Drosophila melanogaster: one gene and its partners. The protein of the gene in region 1 interacts with the protein of each later gene in a pairwise test. Each region holds a gene or a part of one and is shown on either strand. Other genes may lie near its edges.

Evidence for each region. The genes of interacting proteins can lie anywhere in the genome.
Region 2: the proteins of CG7548 (region 1) and CG13992 interact in a two-hybrid assay, tested with the Drosophila melanogaster proteins (one large-scale study listed by BioGRID).
Region 3: the proteins of CG7548 (region 1) and CG17819 interact in a two-hybrid assay, tested with the Drosophila melanogaster proteins (one large-scale study listed by BioGRID).

What each region holds. Positions count from the first base shown.
Region 1 is NT_037436.4:7,502,515-7,509,729, forward strand, and holds CG7548 (uncharacterized protein), read right to left. Parts: upstream 3,704-7,215; 5' UTR 3,688-3,703; coding exon 3,094-3,687; 3' UTR 3,026-3,093; downstream 1-3,025.
Region 2 is NT_033779.5:5,962,445-5,971,443, forward strand, and holds CG13992 (uncharacterized protein), read right to left. Parts: upstream 5,309-8,999; 5' UTR 5,171-5,308; intron 5,122-5,170; 5' UTR 5,055-5,121; coding exon 3,075-5,054; 3' UTR 2,947-3,074; downstream 1-2,946. Other genes in the region: psd (palisade), read right to left, coding at 694-1,839; Ucp4C (uncoupling protein 4C), read left to right, coding at 6,239-7,246; Ucp4B (uncoupling protein 4B), read left to right, coding at 7,458-8,115, 8,185-8,540.
Region 3 is NT_033777.3:21,881,782-21,889,365, forward strand, and holds CG17819 (uncharacterized protein), read right to left. Parts: upstream 3,770-7,584; 5' UTR 3,755-3,769; coding exon 3,614-3,754; intron 3,552-3,613; coding exon 3,417-3,551; intron 3,359-3,416; coding exon 3,122-3,358; intron 3,065-3,121; coding exon 3,017-3,064; 3' UTR 2,947-3,016; downstream 1-2,946. Other genes in the region: CG31465 (uncharacterized protein), read left to right, coding at 1-1,101, 1,160-1,390, 1,448-2,118; fit (female-specific independent of transformer), read right to left, coding at 2,285-2,650; dnd (dead end), read right to left, coding at 3,978-4,253, 4,312-4,443, 4,507-4,635, 5,359-5,361; CG6678 (uncharacterized protein), read left to right, coding at 5,726-5,810, 6,254-6,773, 6,922-6,997, 7,058-7,486.

The DNA.
Region 1 (7,215 bases):
CAAACTTCTAAAGTCTTACCTCTATGACAGAAAGTTTGCAGTGCGGTGCAACACTGCCACTTCCACTGTTCATACAATTGAGGCTGGAGTCCCCCAAGGCAGCGTTCTTGGGCCAACCTTATACCTCATCTATACAGCCGACATCCCTACAAATAGTCGCTTAACGGTATCCACATTTGCCGACGATACAGCTATCCTTAGCCGTTCAAGGTCCCCTATCCAAGCTACAGCACAGTTGGCACTGTACCTCATCGACATTGAGAAGTGGCTCTCTGACTGGCGAATAAAAGTAAACGAGCAAAAATGCAAGCACGTGACGTTTACGCTAAACAGACAAGACTGTCCTCCGCTCTTGTTGAACAGCATACCACTCCCGAAAGCAGACGAGGTAACGTACCTAGGAGTACACCTAGACAGAAGACTCACATGGCGCAGGCACATTGAAGCCAAAAAAACCCAACTTAAACTCAAAGCCAACAACTTACACTGGCTCATCAACTCTGGTTCTCCGCTCAGCCTAGATCACAAGGTCTTGCTCTACAATTCTATATTGAAACCAATCTGGACCTATGGCTCACAGTTATGGGGCAATGCCAGCAACAGCAATATTGACATCATTCAGCGAGCACAATCAAAGATTCTGAGAACCATCACTGGGGCACCGTGGTACGTTCGGAGTGAAAACATCCAAAGAGACTTAAATATCCCATCAGTTACCAACGCAATCACGGAACTTAAGGAAAAATACCATAGCAAGCTTCACACGCACCCCAACCACCTAGCGCGAGGTCTAATCCAGCTCAGCAGCCGTTCCCGTCTCCGGCGAAAGGACCTACCAACCCAGCGAATAAATTATTAGGGCCGTTTAAACATAGAACAGTTGGAAAAATAATACAACTGTTCAAAAAATACTTGTTATAGTTAAGATTTTTAAACTTATTGTTAGTTCTTATACAAGAAGATTCAATAAATAAAAGCAAAGTAAAATAAAAAAAAAAAAAAAAAAAAAAAATTGCTTCAATTCCAGATTATCACTGTTAAATTATATTACTTATTACATTATTAAAATATTGACGCTTTTGATAGGTCATAACAACAAATGTATTCTCTCTTACGTTGAAAGGCTCTCTTCTAACGATCTTCTTTAACAAACAGTAACATTTTTTTTTACAATTTTTGAGTAGCACATATTTGATACTTAAACCGGGTTTTAGTTAAAACGATTTGATTAATTTGCAATTTTTTAAATAAGCATGCAATCGCATAAACAATGAAATGAAGAGAAATAAAAAAAATGAGCTCTCTTAATTCTCTTGTATCTCTCGTCATAGAGTTAATTATAAACCAGAGACCTGGAAATCGTGCTGGAAGCTATAACTAATAAACAAATGCAGTATACATTTTCACATGCGAATATTCTCTTTATGTGTTATCAATATTATTAATCGTTTTGTGCTACTTATTAACTTTTATAAGTTTAAAGGCAATTAATTACAGTTGGAAGTTGCGATGCACTTATACCGCATATGATAAGAAAATAATTCGCTGAAACAATTCGCATATATTAGAACCTCCTAACTGTTTGGAAAAAGCTGGTACTTGATATTTATATCAGACAATAACAAACAAAGGTAGTCTTATTAATATTTTAGTAATATTATATGTTTCCTTTTGTACTTTCAAATACGTATTTCCATTTAAACATGTAAAACTGAAATCATCATTGAAGTTCTAGTAAATTATCTCATTAACAATTATTTCACAATTTTTTTTAAGCCACCCAAATTGACTTAATATTTGTTGGAAGCACGGAAAGTATCAAGATGTTGAAGCAAGTTTTCGCCATGACTCTATCTTGCTTTGCGGCTTTGCCATTTTGCGGTTTAAAGGGCCATTAAAAAATGTAATTATGTTGATAAATACGTCTTACTGGGCATTTTGCATTTTTATTTTTCGCCAACTTGCCTTTGGACGATGTCCTGGCTGTGGAAAGTGGGAAAACTTTAGCCGCAACAGCTAAATAAAAACAACAACTAACGGCTCGGCCTTTCTTCGTCTCCTTTGCATTTTGTTAGCTGTTTCAACTTTTCAGCCAACAAATTTACTAGCCCTGGTCGGGCAAATATTTTATCATTGCGCCTTTTAGCACTCAAGTGGCGGACAGAAGTGGTGGCTCAAAAAGGGGGAATGACAGGAGGTCCTGCAGGATGCCGGACTAAGCGGAGTTTATGGCTTCATTTTTCGCAACTTTGTGCCTTTTGCTCGGTTTTTCAATTCGGAAATTCGCTCCAGAAGTTGCTGGCCCTGTTCTGGTAATCATTTTGGCCATTACTTTGATGGCCAGCTAATGAAGCTATCATTTAAATAGGCTATGGAAAAAAGAGGAGCACACAAATTGGTTATTGACTCCGGGCATTCATAAGTTTTCGATTTGCTTCCGGCTGCGTATGGAGTTTTCCTTTTTCTTTTGCAAAATTAATGAGGCAGCAAAAATCTGATTTCAATTTCCCGATTACAGTTGTCAATGTGCATAATTTACGAGGATGGGCAGAATCTTATTAGTTCATAAGCCATGCCACTTCATGGTCCTTCGCCCTTTCAAATGCTCCTGGCTCCTTTGGTTGCCATTCCAGTCACGTAGCTTTCATGTCCGATTTTTAAGTTTGCGCTGCACAAATCACGTAAGCCCTCTGCATCCTTCTGCCCTAGGATCTAAGGATCACGGACTGGTGTAAGGACCAGAGCTAATGTCCTACTTGGGGCTATTTGTAGGGTGCACTTTGTGTGGATTTTTATGATTTGTTTACGCTGCCTCCGAACGTGAGTGATAAACAGGGAATAAACCACACGATGTACAAGAAAACCAATGCAAATGCTGCGTACATGATGCAAATATGGTTATGCAAGAACATTATATAACAAGCTGTTAACAACTATTAACTGCAGAGCTTAACTAAATAAAAAATTAAATCGAATAAGAAACAATGTCCAGTTTTTATAAGTATTTAAAAACATTTAAGGTTTTAGTTCAACAATTTATTTAACAAGCATACACAAGCTATTCTTTATAATCTTAACTTAAGTATTGATCACTTAAAATCCGTAGTGGGTACCGAAACCATCGAAGCTCATGTGGGAGACGGTCTCCGCCGGAGAATAGTGGATGACAGCAGGCTGGTGGCTGTAGTGGGCGTTCTGTTGGTAAACAGAAGGTGCCTCCACATGACCAGGTTGGTGGTAGCTCTGCACCTGAGCGGGCTGATGGTAAACCGATGGAGTCTGGACATGAGCAGCCTGCTGGTAAACCGATGGAGTCTGGACATGAGCATCCTGCTGGTAAACTGGCGATGCCTGAGTAAACAGATTTTTTGGTTCCTGATGAGCCTGGTGCGTGTAAACCGGAGCTGGAGCTGTAGCATAACTGAAGGTCTTGGCCACCGCCGGCTGGTAGACATTGTTGCTGATCCGCGTGTCCTGCTTGTGGACCTGCGAGTAGGGCGTGGCCAGCGACTTGGCGTAGTGGGAGACGGTGCCATCGAAGCTCCTTACTACATTCTGTTGGGTGTGGGCCACCGCGTGCTCATTGCCAGCATAGGTGATGGTCGGCTGAGCAATCAGACCTGCCCAGGTGGGAGCCAGGAGTAGAAGCAAGCTGGAGGCAACGCTGAGGAACTGGAAGTAAGCCATGTCGATTGGAGCAATTGGAACAACTGTGCTGGATAACTCGGTGGTTGGGCCATATATAGAAGACCTGACCAGCGCAATGCCAATTACTCATAATCGGGCGTACAGCTCAAACTCGTTTCAGCTTTGCCGTCTGGCTTTGCGTGACTTTCAGAAATCCATTTCTCTATCCCTCGATCGTGGCAAATCAATTTACAATTGCCCAGCTCCAAGTGACAGCCACAAAAGTCGGTGTGGGTGAGCCTATCAGCCGGAGAAGGCAATGGAGAAGGGCGTGTCGTCGACCCAGTTTATAAAGCCCAAGACTTTGGCCCATAGACATTGCATAATGCCCGGAATAAGGTAAGGTCTGTGCACTTGCCGCACTTGCTCCACATTTCGCGGTGATGGCAACTTACAATTGTCCGCTGAAGGGCCATCAAGTGGCCAAAACATATTGCGGCCAGCGCGATTTATTGCCCATCGGAGATGCATTAACGCCGCTGCCAAATTGTTAATGCATTTCAGTTCCAACCGCTCTTCAAGCATCTCAATCTGAGTGTTACGCTTCCACATGAATATATGCATCTTAATGTGGATAGTTGTATCATCCGAAGTGGTAATAGTTGCAGCAAAGGAACCATCACTGTTTTAAACGTATGAAAATAACATATCCATCCCATGACTTAAATTTTGCAGATATGAATATATCAAAAATATATCTAATATCAACTATTAAACCTCCAAATGCATCACTTCTTAAAAGTTCCATTGATTTTCGATCGAACTGCGCCTCACTTCCGCTTTATACTTAGTTCCCTGTTTCCGTTTCCGTTTCTGTTTCTCTCTCAACGGACTGACACTCCAGTCAACTTGAAGTTGCCTCATTGATGCGATGCCGCTCTTTGATTCTTTGGATGGTCCGTGAAATCGTTCAACTCACAATTGAGTCATAATGCAATTGGCAAACGTCAAGCAAATGTTGTTAACTTGCCAAACGACACAGAGAATGGGAAGATGGATGGATGGAATGGATGGACTGAACTGAATGGAGAGACCGGATATCCGATGGGCAAGTGTTGGAGACATTGTTGCCATCAAAAGCGGAGGAAAACTTTTGCGCAATGAAAATGACACACACTGGCAAATAGCATCAACATCTCGGCGCCAAATGTGATTACGGTAACAGCGATTGCTGACCAACTTGAGAAAGTCACCTTTGTTGGTCCCACTCGATACACATATCTTTATTGTGCAGATTATTTGGGAGATTTGGGGGGAGAGTGTGTGCTTGTATGTCCATTATGGTCCTTATGAAATTCGGCACATAAATTGTATTATTGCATTTATGCTTGATTTTATTTCGCAGCCCAACTTTCGACTCTGCTTTTCTTTGCTGATTGTGTTTGAGTGTCGAATTGGCTTTCGCATTACTTGTTTTTTTCCTTTTTTTTTGAGTTTCGTTTTGGCCTTAAGTGGATTCGTCTTCGTTTACGTCTGCATTGTCGTCTGACTGAACTTAACGTTTTATTGAACCGACAGGAATCACATGTGAGTGCTTACATTTCAACGGTTTCCTTTGCCATTTCAACTCATGCGCCAACGCAATTTGAACTTCAATTAGCTGCATTTGGCCATGGCTAATAAACGCCGCCATTCTCGTCGCTCCTCGTGCTGATATACAATTACAAATGACGCGTCAGGGCCAGGCCGAAAGTCAATTACCAGGGAGCACGGTGGGAAATGATCTTCCCTCTAACCTATTTTGGATGAATGAAATAGTACGTAGATTTTTTTGAAATTAAAAAAAAAAATTTCAATAAGTCTGCTGCTTGAAAGTGGGAGCAATAAAAAGTACGCCATTATACTGCTCAATAAAGAAAAACCTACATTAAGCACCAAACCATATGTATAAGTAGCCATTTAAAACACTAGAGTATTTAATTCATGATACGAATTTATTTTAGCACTTAACCTAATACCAAAAAGGAAATTTTTCTCTGTGCACTCGAAAGCGAAAAGAAGGAATAGTAACATAAAAGCCCGCGCCTCGCTGGCTAATTGGAATTGAAACATAAATTAAGCGTCCAATTCGGAGGCGAAGACGGCAGAATGCAACTAAAACTTTACGACTTCTTCACTTTGGCCAATTGCGAGTTCGACTTCCGCATTCACATGCCGTTCTGCACTTTTACGTTTTGTCGTAATCCCCGCCAATTACGATACTAGCCACTAGTCACCCACTACACACACTCCTCTGTTGGCCAAGTTTTGTAGTTCTTACCGCTGGTGTTGCATCCACATTGACAGCTTAGATTAAGTGTTGACCATAAATTGGCACGGTTAGTTGGCGCTTGTATTTATGAGGCCAGTGCAGTTGCCATTTAGCAGGTCGAATTTATATACTGGCAATTACAAGTGGTTGTTCATTTGTTTAAAGATTTAATGTGTATATTTGTAATAAACATAAATTTCTTCAGTACATTGGTGATATTTAGGTACATATTTTGATAAGCACTTGTTTGAACAAATTTCTATATTATAAATTACGAGAGAAATAAAATATTAACCACAAAACTCTGTTGAATCTGAACTACTGGCACACGGGTTAAATTCCGCCATGAATGCTAAGGTTCCTTGGTGTTATATTGCCAATCAGCTGCGGAAACCACCCCACCCACTCGCACACCAAGGCCAGTCTCATTTTCCCCCACACCGCATGCTCCTTGGCCATCCGTAGTTTATGGCACAAAGGGGACTTGGCTTCAATTTTCTTTATATTACAGCTTGATTTAATTTGACGTGAGACTTGCTCTGGGGCCCTGTTCTTGACCAGACCGAAATTAGAAATGTAGCCATGCAATGCGGAAACTCGTACTTGAATACATTTCTAATTCTGATTCTGAAGTGAAGCGATTACAGGTTACATTCGGGAAAATTCAAATGTTGCTTAATGAAAATATGAACAATTGGAAAAAGCAAATGTCATTTACCAGCTGCCAAGAGCAGCGACTTATCAATCTGCCCGATTGATATAATTTCATAAGGCGACCTTTGCCCCCGCCCACAACAACAAAAAAAAAAAAACACTTTCAATGTAGTGCCACGCCCACCCACTGTGACAGGAAAAACTTTTGGTGCAAAAAAGTAATAAAAAGTAACGGAAAGCGTTAGCTTAATAACAAATGGAAAGCGGAAAACGAGAGGGCAGTGCTGGTCGAAAAAAAGGGAATGATAATGAAAATGAAAATGCATAAACAGAAATCGTTGACAAGGCGGTGGGCGGAATGTACTGGGCGCTTAGATGAAGGACGGCTGCGTGGAAAACTCATTAAAACTTTTCACAGCCCATTTAAAAGCAATTTGTAAATTGTAAAACTTGCACTTGGACCGCGCAAAGTCGGTGAAAAACGTTAATAATTATTATTTATACTTTCACGCCAAGCATAATCCATATTGTAAGCGAAATGTAGGCTGAGCATTTTAATACAATTAACTGTTTGTAATTTGTACATCAATTTTCTCAAAATGCTTAATTGGGAATCAAACATT
Region 2 (8,999 bases), on another chromosome or scaffold:
TTCGTTTATGTTGTTATCATTTATCAACATTGAATTTCTCCAAAAAGTATGCATCGCATTGGTAAAGAAAATAGTTTAAAATATTTGTATGAACATGGGCAAGTCGGGTGATAAATATTTATTGGTTTTATATTTTATTTTAAAAACATATAACTATCATTTATCATTTAAATTAAACTCTAAAGACTATAACACTACATTTTGACGTTAAAGTGCAAATGAAACATACAAACATAAGCATAACATACAATATTTAGATATTATTGTTAGTTTATTTCCAAAAATCCTATCATTAAGAAATATTCTTCTAATTTTTTAGCCTAATGGTAGGTTATATTCATGCATAAAAAACAAGCCAACAGATATAGAATTGAATACAATGAAGAATTGCTGTACAAGCAGAGGAAAAATATCGCTGATGCTAATAAAATAATAAAAAATTCATTTGTGTTGCAAACTTAAAATCAATATATATTTTACCCTGATGTTCAGCTACATCATTTTACTTACCTCAGATCTTTTTATGCTTATTACTTGGTAAGCTGTATTTATCTAGAACTATATTACCAAACTGTATCAGTTTATAGGTTTTTAAATTTTAAACAATCTTCCACCCAATGCAACAGTACAAAGTCAGAAATTATTAGAAGACTTTTATTTACAGATTGGTCAAGCATCATGGCGTTTAGAGAACTACAAAATATTCTGGGAGGCAAGGGCCAGGCGGTAGTTGTATTCCTCGAACAGTTCCGGAGCCACTCGATATGGCTGATCTATGAGCGAAAGGCGGATGGGCGTTTGGCACGAGGGCGTGGCATAGTTGGGAGCAGGAGGAGCCGCCGGTTGGTAGCAATTCTGCGATGGCGCCTCGTAAACGGGGGCAGGTGGTGGCGGTGGTGGTGGGGCTGTTGGAGTGACATATTTCTGATCATCATACTCCACCTGGGAGGTGGACGACTTCGATGCCAGTGGAGTGGAGAGATAGATGATGGGCTGGTAAACGATCTGTGCCGGTGGTGCACCAACGTAGCTTGGCTGTGCGGGCTGGCTGTACCCCTGGGTGTAGCTGGATGCTGGTGGCTCATAGGCGGGAGCTGGTGGAGCGGGAGCACTGTAATCAGTTGTAGGTGCTTCGTAGGCAGGAGCAGCTGGTGCCGGAGCTTCATAGGCAGGAGCAGCTGGTGCCGGAGCTTCGTAGGCAGGAGCTGGTGGAGCAGGAGCTTCGTAAGCAGGAGCTGGTGGTGCCGGAGCTTCGTAGGCAGGAGCTGCCGGTGCTACATAGCCTGCATCGCCATCGCCGGGTCCATTGTACTCGGTATCGGGTTTGATGTACCCACCGTTGGGCAGGACTCCGTAACCATCACCGCCGTAGGAAGGACTCTGTGGCGCCGGTGCCACATAGTTGTTCTGACCACATCCACCGCCACACTGTCCACACGGACTGGCTGTGGGAAATAGTTCGGGAAGTTTCTTGAAGAGTTTCATCTGCTTGAAGGGATCCAGATCCTGCAGCTGCAGGCCGTTGCAGTTGTTGGGCACAGCGGGCGCGGGTAGCAGTGGAGCTGTCGGATACAGCAGGTTGTTATTGTTGTTGTTGCAGCAGTTGTTGTTGTTGCGGGGAAAGAGATCATCCCACCACTTGAGCAGAGAGCGGTTCGTGCGCTTCAAAGCCTCATTGGGGGTCACCACAGGACCTGCATCCGCCATCAGGTAGTAGAGTGGCTCCCCCGGTACCGCAATCCGATTGGACCGCGGCAAATCCTCGGCTGAAGTGGCCAGGACCACGCCCAGCGCCAGCAGGGTCAGAGTCCACGATCTGTTTCTGGAGTGCATCATCATGTGGTAATTGCGTTGGCAGCATTAACCTCGCGGTTCGAACTCTCAATTGCAACTACCAGAACCAGTGGCTCCCAATCGCAGCGGACTGCTGGAGTTGCACACCACAACGGATTAATGCCAGGTCAGCAGGTGTGGACACCTTTTGATGGGGTATAATAGTTGGCAAAATAAACATTAAAGATTGGATAGTGTTGCATTTTTTATAGCACCTTATAATATATTTTAAAATGTTGAATTAAAATTAGTTACAAGTAAACAGGTAACCAAATGTTCACACTAGAACTGATCGCCTTTTCTTAGTATCTTATCTGTAAATCTTAAAATTATCTGAACAAAAGAAAGGGTATTTAAAATTAATTATAAAGATTGTCTGTTATGAGGAAATTAAGACTAAACTTTTAGCTCAGCAAGTCCCATGTCTAACCCAATTTTTATTTTAGCCCCAATAGAGGTGGTGTTACCAATTCATCGAAGATTCCCAATAAGAGTCCCAATAACCCCACTGGCAGGCCGATGACTCCACACTACTTGTATTTTCTTTATTGTTGTCTTGCTTTCCTTATTGTTTATTCAAATTGTTCCCTTACGTGCTCGAAATTATTAAACAGTAGCGAAACACCAGTCGAGGTTCCTGTTTGCTCCGTGGAGCGTGACTGCCTTGGCTTTAATCCGCATCAGGCTGGCCAATCGAAAGCAAAATGCACTTGGCTGAACGGAAGTTGGTCGGAAAAAACAAAGATACAAAGATACGTTCAGAAACACATAATAAATACATAAATATATATTGGTTGCCGTAAAATATACTTCCGAAAGTAATCGTGGGCTTACTCATCGTTTGGTTATACTTAATACTGGTAATACTTAAGATACAACCAATAATAAATTCAAGTATATATATATTTGAAAAGTATTTATAGATGCTGACGCATTTGTGTTCGAAAACATTAATTACAGCTCTAGCTAAAAATAGTAGCACAAAAAGATATTTATTTGAATTTACATCTCTACAATTCTAATATTAGGTGAAATACTTGTTGGAAACTTCCCAAAGATACATGTTGGAAACAACTAACATATAAGATGAAACGATTCATTTTTTCATTTTGTATTTCAACTTTTGATTTATATTTTGATAAAGAGTCGCAACTACACCTGCCTAGTACTAAAGTACTATTCTTTTGACAATATAAATAAAACTTTATTCAATTTGAGGGATCCATTAACATATCTTCGAGCTACAACTGCTGCAGGTATCTATGCTTTTGGGGACTACGTCCGCTGGAGCGCTGACGGTGTCGCTTCCGTTTCTCCGTTGGCTTGAGCAGTTCCGTCGCCTTGCTCACAATGGCCGGAACTCCGGATGTGTCAGCGGAATCATCTGGCTCGGAGGCTGGTAGCGGTGTGGTCATCGCCGTATCATCTTCCTTGTCAAAATCTTCAGCAGAGTCCTCAGCCTCATCACTGTCGTGGTCATCACCCACAATGGTATCTGGCTGTTCTGAGCTGGGTGGCGCCGGAGTGCTACTCGAGAAGTTCAGCTTGCCCGATCTTTCCGATTGAACTTCTGTGGTAGGAGCAGCTTCTGTTGTTGAGGTGGAGGCAGCGTCCTGGTTGAATTTGAAGACGCGCTGGAAAAAGTTACCATTTTGCGTTGGAGCAGCGGGAGCTGGTGCTCCCAGAACTCTGTTGAAAGGATTGAAAGGATTGAGGGCTCCGAAGGGTCCGAATGGGTTCATTCCCATTCCAAGCTGCATGCCCATGCCAAAGGGGCCACCCACCTGGTGCTCCATGTCGTATCCCTGTCCTCCCATCTGGGGAGACATGCCAAAAGGGCTTCCCAGCTGTGCTCCCAGCCCAAATCCACCTCCAAAGGAACCTGCTGGAGCCAATGCTGGTGGTGCTCTGGGAAGCCCAAAGTAGGGAGTTGGTGCTCGTTGTGCGTAGCAGGGCATGCTTATAATGACCGGTTGGAAGCTCGGACAGGTGGTACTGTAGCTCACCCCGTTGTCCACTGGACATTGAATTGGTGGTGCTGTGGGAGGACATCCATTACAATATGTGTTGGCAGAGGGAGTTACATCTGCTTGGGAATAGGTTGGAGGTGGTGGCGGCAGAGTGGGTGGGGCAGGAGCCTCTGGGTATTGATTGTTGTAGGGGCTGTAGCCAGGAGACATTTGTCCCAACATGGGCTCATCCTGGTTGCTCACCGGTGCCTCCTGTGTGGGATGTCTTTCGTCTCCCAGGCTGCTGTAGAATGCCTTCATAACCGGATCGTTTTCGGGATCCTGCGTCTGCGACAACGGCACCCACATCAACTGATCTTCTGGTCGCGGTTGACTCACTGGCCTACGGTATTGCTGTTGGAGCTCCTCTCGCCTAAAACCCACATCCGGCACTGCCAGCACCTCCTCGTCGATAGTGAATCGATGTCTACCATTTCCGGCTACTGGGTTCTCGTTGGGGCGACTTGACGACCTCGCAAATGCTGCAGGATCATACGAAGCGGCCGTGGACGCTGGGCTTGGGCCAGCTGGAACTCCTGGTGGAGCTGCTGGCGGGCTGCCCACAATTGGGTGATGAAATTCTTGCATGCCAGCTGACTCCGCTGCAGGTGCAGTTGGAGGGGCTGCCATAGGGCCTCCGTAGAATCCGTACTGGGCGTGGGGCTGATGCTGCTGAGGATTAGGCTGCTGGTGGGGCTTCTCCTGGTATGACGTCGGACCCGCTGGCTGGACTTGGAGAATGCGAGTGGGATCTTCTGTGACGGGCTGCTGGGGATATGACCCGCCCTCAAAGGCGGGAAACACGGGAAAGTTGTGACCGTAATCATGATGTTCAGCGGGTTGAGGATTAAACGGAGGCATATGCTCCATGGAGGGTTGATTCTCGATTGCGGGTTCTGTGGATTTCGCTCCCTGGCACATGTAGAATGGCTCCCCCTGGCCACCTTGGCTTCTGACCTCCACACAACTTTGCTGGCTACTGTCGCCACCGAAGTTGGCTCCCCGGCACATATAATACGGCTCATCCTGCGGACTACTTGGCCTAATCTCCACGCAGATGGTAGTCATGGTGCGTTTGCTGCGATTCAGTAGATCCCTCGAAGCTGGACTGGCCTCATGTCCGGATGCAGTTGCTCCTGGTAACACCGTTAGCCCAATGGCCAGGCATGCCCAAAGGAAGATCAGCTTCAAGGCCTGTGGTTGGATATCCATGTTCTTCTTCCGCTCACTAACTTCCGTTTGCCGATGGGCAGCGCTTTTATAGTCTTTAACTCTGCTGCTGAGGATGGAGATCCATTAAAAGGTGCCTTCCAACTTCCACAACTTACCCAACTGATTTCCTCGAAGCGGTCTTTTGTAATTTTTCTCGTTTGTCTGAATTATGTTTTTCCTCTATTAACCGCGTTGTTCTGGTATATTGCACTGGTAATCGGAGTTTTATTCACTTGAAAATCGTATCACTGAATAAAAACCAATGCAGACACCAATTTTGAACGGACCTGGCCAAAAGGGGTTCGAATCGTAACCAAAATACACTTCCATGTGCGAAGTTGAAGTGAATTCAAACCGAAGTAGCCGATGTTAGTAACAATAAATAGATTATTTGTATTAATGCTATATTCTATGAAAATTGTATATACATTATGAAGATACTTAGGAGGGAGCAAGCTTTATAACATACTTTCTTTGTAATATGTTCATCTTGAATTCGTTACTAATCAAAAGAGTTCCTATAATAATAGAGCATTTGGATTCATACTTAAACATATTCAATTGCTTCGATTTCAGCTGATTCCTGCAAATTTCGACCAGCGTTTTCTTTTGGCATGGTGGACAGTTCAACAAACTCCTCAGGTTTCTTTCGATTTTGGATTGATCAGCACTTTCGTAAAGTGTGCGAAACATATGACACACAAGTGTTTGCTGGTTGGGTTGCCCGACATTAGCCAAATCGGTCAGTCGGTCAGCGAGTGTTAGATTGTCGGGAGTGAGGGGCACTTCATAGTAACTGACCTGACCCACTTGTAAGACAACGCGGGAGTGGCCTCCAGTACCCCGGGATGACTAATGAACCCTTATGAATGTGGGGTGTGTATTCCGTGGTCTTTAAACTAAGTCACTTCTGTTTCACCATCCGACTGGGTACTTCAATCAAAGGACCATACTTGAGTTTTAAGTACTCGTATCCTGGGATAGCATTCCTTGTATGTATATAGATGGATATTATATATACTAAAGAGAAACTAGTCCAATCGCAGACACCACCTGTTGGTATGTCGTCTATTTATAGTAACACTTAAATTGTAGCTACCTAAACACATTTCAAACAATTCTAAACAAACAATTCCAAACATACAATTCCACTTACCACTTACCGACCAAATTACGAGTTTACAATGGACAAAGCTGAACGCGACTACTGGCATCTTCGATCCTTGGAAATCGAAGAGGAGCCGCGATTTCCGCCAACAAACGTCGCTGATCCACTAACCGCACGCAATCTGTTCCAGCTCTACGTCAACACCTTCATTGGAGCCAATCTGGCCGAGTCGTGTGTCTTCCCATTGGACGTGGCCAAGACCCGGATGCAGGTAGATGGCGAGCAGGCCAAGAAGACGGGTAAAGCGATGCCAACTTTCCGGGCAACTCTTACCAACATGATCCGAGTGGAGGGATTCAAGTCGCTCTACGCCGGCTTCTCGGCAATGGTGACCCGAAACTTTATCTTCAACTCGTTACGTGTTGTTCTCTACGACGTTTTCCGGCGCCCTTTTCTCTACCAGAACGAGCGGAACGAGGAAGTGCTCAAGATCTACATGGCGCTGGGATGCAGCTTCACCGCAGGCTGCATTGCCCAGGCACTGGCCAATCCCTTTGACATCGTCAAGGTGCGAATGCAGACGGAAGGACGCCGCCGCCAGCTGGGCTATGATGTGCGGGTGAACAGCATGGTGCAGGCCTTCGTGGACATCTACCGCCGTGGCGGACTGCCCAGTATGTGGAAGGGTGTAGGGCCCAGCTGCATGCGTGCCTGCCTGATGACGACCGGCGATGTGGGCAGCTACGATATCAGTAAGCGCACCTTCAAGCGCCTGCTGGACTTGGAGGAAGGCCTGCCACTGCGTTTCGTGTCTTCCATGTGCGCCGGACTAACGGCATCCGTGCTCAGCACGCCGGCGGACGTGATCAAGTCGCGGATGATGAACCAGCCGGTGGACGAGAGCGGCAAGAATCTGTACTACAAGAACTCCCTCGACTGCGTTAGGAAGCTGGTCAGGGAGGAGGGTGTCCTCACGTTATATAAGGGCCTAATGCCCACTTGGTTTCGGCTGGGACCGTTCTCAGTGCTCTTTTGGCTGTCCGTCGAGCAGCTGCGTCAGTGGGAAGGCCAGAGTGGATTTTAGGAGCAAACTATCAATCTTACTATCGTATTTTGTATGTCTTTTAACACGCAATAAAAGGTGCAAGTCAAACCATCTATTATACATATTATAAATATAACTTTAATCCCAATCCTATTCGTTAATATGAAATGATTTTGTTGTCTTTAATTTTGCTTTATTTTATTTTTTATATTCCAATGCACACAACAAACACTCAAGATATTTCTCTTAAATGGGAAAAGGCGTTAACACAGTCTTTAGGCCAGCAGAATGGGACAATTCGGAGGAGAAGGAAAGACCCAAGTTGGAGTACTTGGTGACCAACAAGAAGACTCCGCCGGTTGAACTCTACCTCACGGCATTCGCCTCCGCCTGCAGTGCCGAGATTGTGGGCTATCCCTTCGATATGTGCAAGACCCGAATGCAGATCCAGGGCGAGATCGCGAGCAGGGTGGGTCAGAAGGCCAAGTACCGAGGTCTGCTGGCCACTGCCATGGGCATCGTCAGGGAGGAGGGTCTGCTGAAGCTCTACGGTGGCATATCCGCCATGCTGTTCCGCCACTCGCTCTTCAGTGGCATCAAAATGCTGACCTACGACTATATGCGTGAGAAGATGATCGTGCCCGACGAGGACGGCAGGCCGCAGCTATCCTTCCTGGGATCCTGCATCAGTGGCGTCTTAGCCGGCGCAACTGCCAGCGTACTAACGAATCCCACCGAGCTGATTAAGATCCAAATGCAAATGGAGGGACAGCGGCGTCTAAGGGGCGAGCCTCCACGCATTCACAATGTGCTCCAGGCCCTGACTTCCATTTACAGAACGGGTGGTGTGGTGGGTCTCTGGAAGGGAACTGTTCCAAACACATGGCGCTCGGCACTCGTGACCATAGGTGAGCCTTAAAATCGGGATTGGATCAGTCAGGTTCAGATATGTTCAATATCACCCCTTCCTTCTAAAGGGGACGTCAGCTGCTATGACTTTTGCAAACGCTTTCTGATTGCCGAGTTCGATCTGGTGGATAACCGAGAAGTGCAGTTCGTAGCCGCCATGACCGCCGGCGTAGCGGATGCCATTCTGAGCTTGCCAGCGGACGTGGTCAAGTCCCGGATCATGAATCAGCCAACCGATGAGCAGGGACGCGGCATTCATTACAAGGGCTCCCTGGATTGCTTAAGTAGGTTGGTTAGAGAGGAGGGCTTTTTGGCCATGTACAAGGGATTCATTCCATATTGGATGCGTGTCGGACCTGCCTCCGTGGTGTTCTGGATGACCTTCGAGCAGATTAGACGGTTTCGTGGCAGCGAAGGTTACTAGCTAAAGATGCAGTTTAAAATATAACAGAGTAAAATATCATTAATATCCTGGAGGAAAGTTGATGGGAAAGTTAGAGGGCCAAGCTCTTAAGTCAATCAGAACGAATTCCGTAGTAAATGGATAAACCTATTGGTATGCGGTGACCACATGGTTTATATGGGTAACCTTTAATGCCATTTGACTCAAGTTTGAGTGATTGAATGGCGACCAATGTTACAATACCTGTTAGCCAGTAGACAACCCGCCAAAACAGCGCTTAGAAAACGGTGAAAACTGAAATTAGCATATTTAATTGAATGAACCAACGTGGAAAACAACTCACTGCCCGGGGCGAAAGATATTTGAATGCTCCGTTTGGAGATGAAAACAAGGCACACGCGCATCAAATTGCGCGGCGTTGCGAGAGCCAAAGGCCATATAATAAATAATAATGTTTGATTAATTTTACGGCTGATAAAA
Region 3 (7,584 bases), on another chromosome or scaffold:
ACTCCAGGAGATCAAGCATTAAGGCTGGTGGACTTTACGATGAGTATAAGAAGGGCTTCGTTCAGTTATTCAGTGATCATAAATTTCCCAGAGAATCCCATATCATTAGTGAAACGGATTATCCTTCGGATAGCGAGTCGGGTCGCCGGATGAACAGTGAGGACATCCTTCCAAGTCAGTGTGATAAACAAAAAGCGACTACTGTTGAGTGTGACGAACCAGAAACTAAGGCCACAACCAAGATGTGTGTTCCCATTGAAAAACCAATTACGAGCAATAAGTGTGATAAACCAAAAGCGACAACGCCAAAATGTAAGGAACCACAGAGTAAGACCCCAACTAAAAGCTGCTTTTCGAATGAAAATCCGAGCCAAGGCAATAACTATTTGAAGGCTCTGAACACATTTATCAAAATGAACAAGGAAAGTAATCAGAACGGCGGTCTTAAGCCCTATTATCTACCAAACTCCAAAAATCGTCAGCTGGTTTGGAATGACATTCCATTGATAAAGCCTGGTCTCAATGAATCACCTAAGAAAGAATCAGAGAGTAAGCCGCACTATAAGCCATCTAGCAAGACCATTGAAGAGAATGTAGTCCCCGAAAAGAAGCCCGATAAAGTAACTAGCTCTAAACTTAATACGAAAATCGAAACTAAAGTGATGGAGAGTGTTCCAAAAATACAATCGGTTTTCTCAGGACTCGATCCCAAACAGATAATAGGTGGCTTGAAGGCCATCAAGCAATCTTCATTCTTTAACTTGGTGGATGAGTATCAGAAGCAAATCGAAAACCTCAATCAGGCGTTGAAAACAAAGCAAAGTTGGTGGAAGGAGGTTTTGGAGAGGGGCAAAAATCCAGCCAGGATACCCATGAAAAGGAACATATTCATGAATAATCCTGTTTCTGGCCACGTTTTGCAAGCACCGTTTCCCGAAGTGCTAGTCAATCAGCCATCACAGCTGGGCGGTAGTAATGTCATTGACACCATGGCCACTCAAATGAATCTATCACCTTTGGAGGTGGCTCAAAGGATTGTGGGAACCGGTCAAAATGCAGCCGATGGTGGATTGAGATATGCACCCAATCGCATACCATCAGGTAAGTCAGTGAGTATATCGCTGTAAATCTATTTGAAATTATGAATATCGTGTAAAAGCAAGTCAGATCGGAAGTAGTTTCCGAAAGGGATCAGAGATCATGTGCCAAGTCCCAAGTCCACCATCACAGACGCCGCATCAACAGCCAGAGGACCAGCTGGGGATTTCGCCGGTTCTAGACAAGATCCTGGAACGATTGGAGAGCATTCAGGCAAGCAAGTCAAGCAATCAATCGTCGGAAGAGGAGGAGGAGAGAAAGCTGCCCTGCTGCTTCGTGGATCCAGCTGATGGTAAGAATAGGTGGTAGAGCTAAGATTCATGTATGTATATAAAGTTTAAAACTTCAGGTGCGCCCTGCGATCTAAACGGATCCTGGGAATCTCAAGTCCTTGGCATTCGCATAAATATCAAGACCCCGCCAACAAATTCAGATGGCGAAGAAGCGGAAAAGCCGACCTGTAGCCAACACAAAGGTCGTACCTATCGCAGGACGAGACGACAGTGCGTCAAGATGAACAGGACGCAGTTGAAGGATGCGGCCGACTTGAAAACTCCCAATTACCATGGCATTAAGCTAAATATTAGTGTGCAGGAGACAGTGCCGCCGAGGGCCCACGATCTCCTGGATAATCTCACCGATTGGTATTTCTCGGGACAAGCTATGATGATCCTGGGCGGGCCACTTTCTCTATCCTTCCGCAAGGCGAATTCCAATCTGATCGGTCACTTTGTTGGCTATTGTCGCACCTGCGGCTGTGTGGACACCATTTTCGGTTCGTGGAGCTTCTGCCAGCCGTCGCGGGATTGCCAGGACATCTGCATGTCGATTGTGGACAGACGGGATATGCTACGACGATACAGTATGGATGAGCGGCGAAAGAATCGATTCAAGGAGCAGCTCTATATGGGCAGCAAGTTCGCCAAAATGGAAAAGGAGCGCCAGCTGGCCGAGCAGGAAAAGTGCCACAAGCTTGCTCCTCAAGCTTCGCGCGAAACGAATGGGAATCCAAACCCATAAGACAAAGCTGAATTTAAATTAATTATTATTTAAACTTAATTTATTTTGATAATTTGTTACTAATTAGTTCGTTTGAAAGGATTTGATTATTAAAATGCATTTTGCAAAAAAAAGGTGGCTAAAGGAATGTCCTTAAATTATATCAACTGATCACCAAGTCGTGAGCTTACATTCCATTCGCCTGGCTCATTTGGTGGTGAATGAATGACATGGTGTATCCAATCGAACGCCTAACGCAGTGCACGTCCATCTGGCCATCCAAGATGCACTGCCTCAACTGATTGACGGCGTAGTTCTCGATCCGTTTCTTGGTACTCTCGTTGTCAATTCGTTCCAGTCGCTTATCCACCTTGTGCATTAGAATGAATGCCTCTGGGAAGTGACCCACATCACAGGGCCAGTTGACAGAGTGCGGATGCGGGTGGCTTAGACTTGGACCTTGGGACGAGTTGTCCTCCTCAGACCAACGAATATTCCTGGCCTGCACCAAAGCCAGAGCCGAAAGAAGTAGAATCACCAGAGTTGAGTTCATTTCAACGATCGCTGTTAAACTGTGCCAGTCAATTCTATAACTAACCCTTTTATAGCCCCAAAAGCAACAACAACTAATAACTGATAATGCAAAAGGGCTTTGTCCTCACAATGTTGCTACTCAGCCACGAGTTTTTCAATTATTGACAGAGGTCAATGTCAAAAATCATTGATTAGCAAATGGCTGTATTAATGTATTAATTAAAAGAGTGTTTGCCGATCAGCAAACTAAATGAATCATTATTTGAGGCAAATAATTTCTATAATACAAGTGTAACAAACTATTGTTGCTAAATTACATTAAATATATATTTAATATATTAGTTAATAGGTTGCCAAATTTTTGAAAATATAAAAATGTGATAAATCACTTCCTGTTATTGTTGATCTTTTCGTTAATCCAATTTACGATCTCCTACCCAGATAGTATAAGTTAAATTATCAGATTTCGAATATAGAACACAACATATACCTGAACACCAGACCCTGTCCGCATGGAACATTCCTCAAAAGTCCAATCTCGACCAGTTAGGCGATATAGGCCCATCAAATCGATAACCGTGGACATGGACAGGGATCCCGAGGCGTCCTTCTTGTTGGACACGATCAGCAGCGGAGCATTATCCAGTTCCTGGTGCATCAAAACATCGCATAAAACACATCGCGCCTCGCTTAGCCGCAGTGCATCCGTGCTATCCAGTACAAAAATCTACGGTTCAGGGATTGTAGTCGAGTCTATATAAGTTCTATATAAGTTCTCCTCTCACCAAAACATTCACTTTCTTATAATACTTTGGCCAGATCTGGCGATTCTTCAGTTCTCCGTTAATATCCCACAACTGGACTCTGAAATTATTTATGGTGAAGCTCCATTCACTAACTTGATTGTTAGATTCCTTGGACTGCAAATAGTTTATGCTAACATTATCAAATGGAGATAGGACCATCACATATATGGCCTTACTTCTCCATTGAAAATTTCCGCCAGGCGGTCTGTCAACGTGGATTTTCCCGCATTGTCTAATCCTAAAATGAGCAGACATGATTTCTGAGAGCCTGCGGGCAGGATCTTTTTTATGAACGAAACAGGTCCGTAAAAACACATGGGGATCGAAATTTGATTTCAGTTTAGATGTCAGGTAAAAATGAATGATTTAACTAGCATAGCCTTCTCAACTATATATTCAGTTTATACTTAAAGATACACGTGAAAAAAGGAAGATTCATCCAACAATTAGAGATTGTGATACTTTTGGTGAGTTGAAATGTAGGTACGTATATTTAGTTCTTAGGGACAACTTAACAGGCGACGATTACTATAATTTAGATTACTTCTTCATATTCTTGCAGACCCAGTCCATTCCCTCCTTTAGTCCAGTGCCATCCACAGCGGTACAGGCCTTGATCTCCCAGGTTCGTCCCTGCAGTTGCACCAAGCTCATCTTCTCGGCCACCTCGGCGGCACTCATGGCATCCGGCATATCCTGTTTGTTAGCGAAAATCAGCACGGGAACTTGCTTCAACCGATTGTCCATGAGCATTTCGAATAGTTCACTACCCGCCTCGGGCAGGCGAGTCCGATCTGTACAGTCAATTACATAGATCTGAAATAATCGAAACTATTAGCTAACAGAATTGAGTTTAGATCTATAACAATCCTACCAGCACATCAGTATTCGCAAAATAGTTCTTCCAATATGGACGTATCTTCCATTGACCACCAATATCCCATACATTCAGTTTGAAACCATCGGCTGCCACGGACTTGATGTTAAATCCTGCCGTGGGCGTTACCTGCGGGATTTCACTCCGTATTTTATGGGGAAAACGGAAGAAGTTCGCCGCCTTTATACGCACCGTGGTTATGTCCTCCGATGCCAGCTGCTTCAGTATCGTGGTCTTGCCAGCATTATCCAATCCTAGGAGCAGGATGCGAGCCTCCTTTTCCGGATTGGGTCTCAGTTTACGCAACAGCGATAGCAGACCCTAAAATTTGTAAGCTATTAAGTTGTTGTTTTTTCTACTTAGTTTTTTGAAGGTGTGTTATTCTAGCACCTGATTACCAGTATTAGTCTAGACTCGGTAGTATCCTCTGGTCTATCTTTGAAATTTTGAATAACAATCTACATTTGGTAGTTTATAAACTTGTAAAATTGTTAATAAATATATGTGTTTTTATAAATGCAACATATGCTTGTAAACACACATGTTTTGTTATTATCAATGTTGTTATCAATAAAGACGATGTAAAGTTGTAAAAAAAAAACTTGCAATTAAAACGTTCTCTTAGTGATAGAATGCAAAAAGCTTATCAACAGGTGAACTTTACAAACATATTGTTGGAATTGAGATAAGGGCTCGCCAAAAGAAACGACAACAAGGTTGAATGAAATAAAAATGTTTATTGGTAAAAAAATTTGCCATGTTCACTTAAAAATTAAGAACTCTTTTTTCCATTGTGTGCTACAAAAAGCTTATTATGTTTCTTTGTTTTCCGAACCACCAATTTGGTTTTTTTTTTCGAATACCGATAATTACGCGCCTAAAACTTTCGAAGTAGTGCTGAAAAAAGTTCTGCTCTAACAAAAAAGTGTTGTATAGTTTTTGAGGCGGGTTTCCATGGCGACGATCGCAAAATGAAAACAAATCGTGCAATTACGGAACAACAAGGCACTTAATTAGCTGTTACGGAACCGGGAGACAACCTACCATCGTATAATTAACGCGAGAATAACAGCCAGGAGGCGGTGCGATCTCCGACCACTATATCCGTATCTGTATCCCCCCGATTCGGCAATCTGCTCTGGCCGCCCAAGACGGTGTCTTCTGGTGGTCAACTCAGGAAAAGTCGGATAACTTGAGAATTGGATCAACTTCAACCACCAAACACAACATCACTGGCTCGTCGCTGCACAACTACTGAAAACAAAATTCGCTCAACGCTCTAACAAATTCCGACAGCAACAACAACAGCGCCAACGGTCGCCGAGCAACCGCTGCAAAGGATTGTTAGACGGGGGACGTGGTGGGGGTGCGGGTCGAGCGGTATTCGAATTGGAACGGGAACGGGAAGAAGATGCCGCTGCTATTTACGGGCTTCAACGCATTTGGCCAGCATGAATGTGTAAGCGGCGACGTCGACTGCGCAGCCGGCTTCAGCGGTTTGTAACCGGCAACAAAAGCCGCCGATCACTTAGTTGCTACAGTAGGCACTCGCTATAGAACTCGCTGGGATGCATGCAGCTTATACCATTTTTACAATTCTAATTCTATCTTATAAAACTGAATCCGATTTAAGCCAGATGAATTTTTAAGATTTCATGTTTAAAATAGAGTATAGTGATTTTCAGGTGAATATATACGTAGGACATTAATCCATAAAATTCTTTGCATATTCATATTCATGCATTGGATATAGACTGCATTTTAATTGACAGTTATAGGGTAAATTACACATCGGTACTTGGTGCCAACTGCATTTTTTGATTGGCCAAATACATACATAGCAATGAAATTGATAAACTAATAACTTAGACAAAATCTTTTTAGGGGGCTTCCACCGTATGTATGTATGTGTACTAATTCAGTTCTGCCTTTATTACAGAATTAAATGCGCCAGTCTCGACTCAGAACCAGTGCACGATTTCGATCGGCTGGCGGTATGCGGCCCTCGCTTTTGGCCGGAAGTTGTGCCTGCGTGGGCTCTTGGATGATGGCCCAAATGAGTGCGTGACCCTGGAAGCAACGGGGAACATAAGGGCCCTTGCCGCTGCCGATTCCCACTGCCTGGTGCTACTCCAAAGCGGTCAGCTTTACAGGGTGCAACCAAAACTGCAAGCGGAACTGGTGGCTGTTAGACTAGAAGCTGCTCCCAGATCCAATTCGGGTACAAAGCGCTCTATCTTTGGGGCTGCCAAGGCGCCTTCGTCGCCGATCATAGAGCATATTGCATGTGGATCGCACATAAACGTAGCGATAAGTTCGGAAAACTGTGTCTACAGCATTCCCAGCTGCCTGCATCAGTTTTCCGAGCGCCAATTTCGGGTGAAGCAGCTCCAATGCGGCCATGAACATGCCGTGCTCCTCAATGCCAATGGCGACGTGTTCACCTGGGGAAATGGACTGTAAGTAAAGGTCATAATGAATGCGTTGGCTGTGCAGAAATGCAGCCTATAAATATTTACATATTCTGGTTTTAAGATATTTAGATATTAGCGAGTTTCTTATTCTAATTCCTAACAATTTTTTTCACTTCTATGTCATAATTAACAGACGCGGACAGTTGGGTCTGGCGGAACTGAGAGTGGAGGAGACGCCTCAATTGCTGGAGGCGCTGGCGGGGATCAAGGTATATATATATTTGACTTGTCCACTTATCTTGTCTGTCACACATTCAAGTGCCTTGCAGATAACTCAAATTGCTGCCGGTGGTTGGCACAGTGCGGCCATATCCGCCTTTGGAGACCTCTACACCTGGGGCCTCAACTGCAGCGGTCAGCTGGGATTGCGTGTGATGAAACCCGGTGGCGTCCTCAAAGAGCCCACTGTATTTCCGCTGCCCCAGTTGCAAGATCTGCCCGAATGTGCCTGCTCCCAAAGCGGGGAGAGCAACGATGATTGCGCACCGCTGAGGGTGTTTGCTGGATCTCGTCACACTCTGCTGATCCGCCGATGCGGGCGGCTATGGGTCAGTGGTTGGTGCAAGCACGGTCAACTTGGCAGGCAGCTCCAAGACCTGTCCTATGTGGATGCTTTTCAGGCCCTGGAAGGTATCACGATGAACCCTACTGTGGATGATGTTCTCTGTGGGCCATGGTCAACGCTGCTCCATTTGAAGGTAACGTTGGATTGAAGACACATACATATGTACCTTTTAAAATGGCTTCACTATTAAATCTACTGAATTGAACACAGCTTGGACACAAACCAATTTAC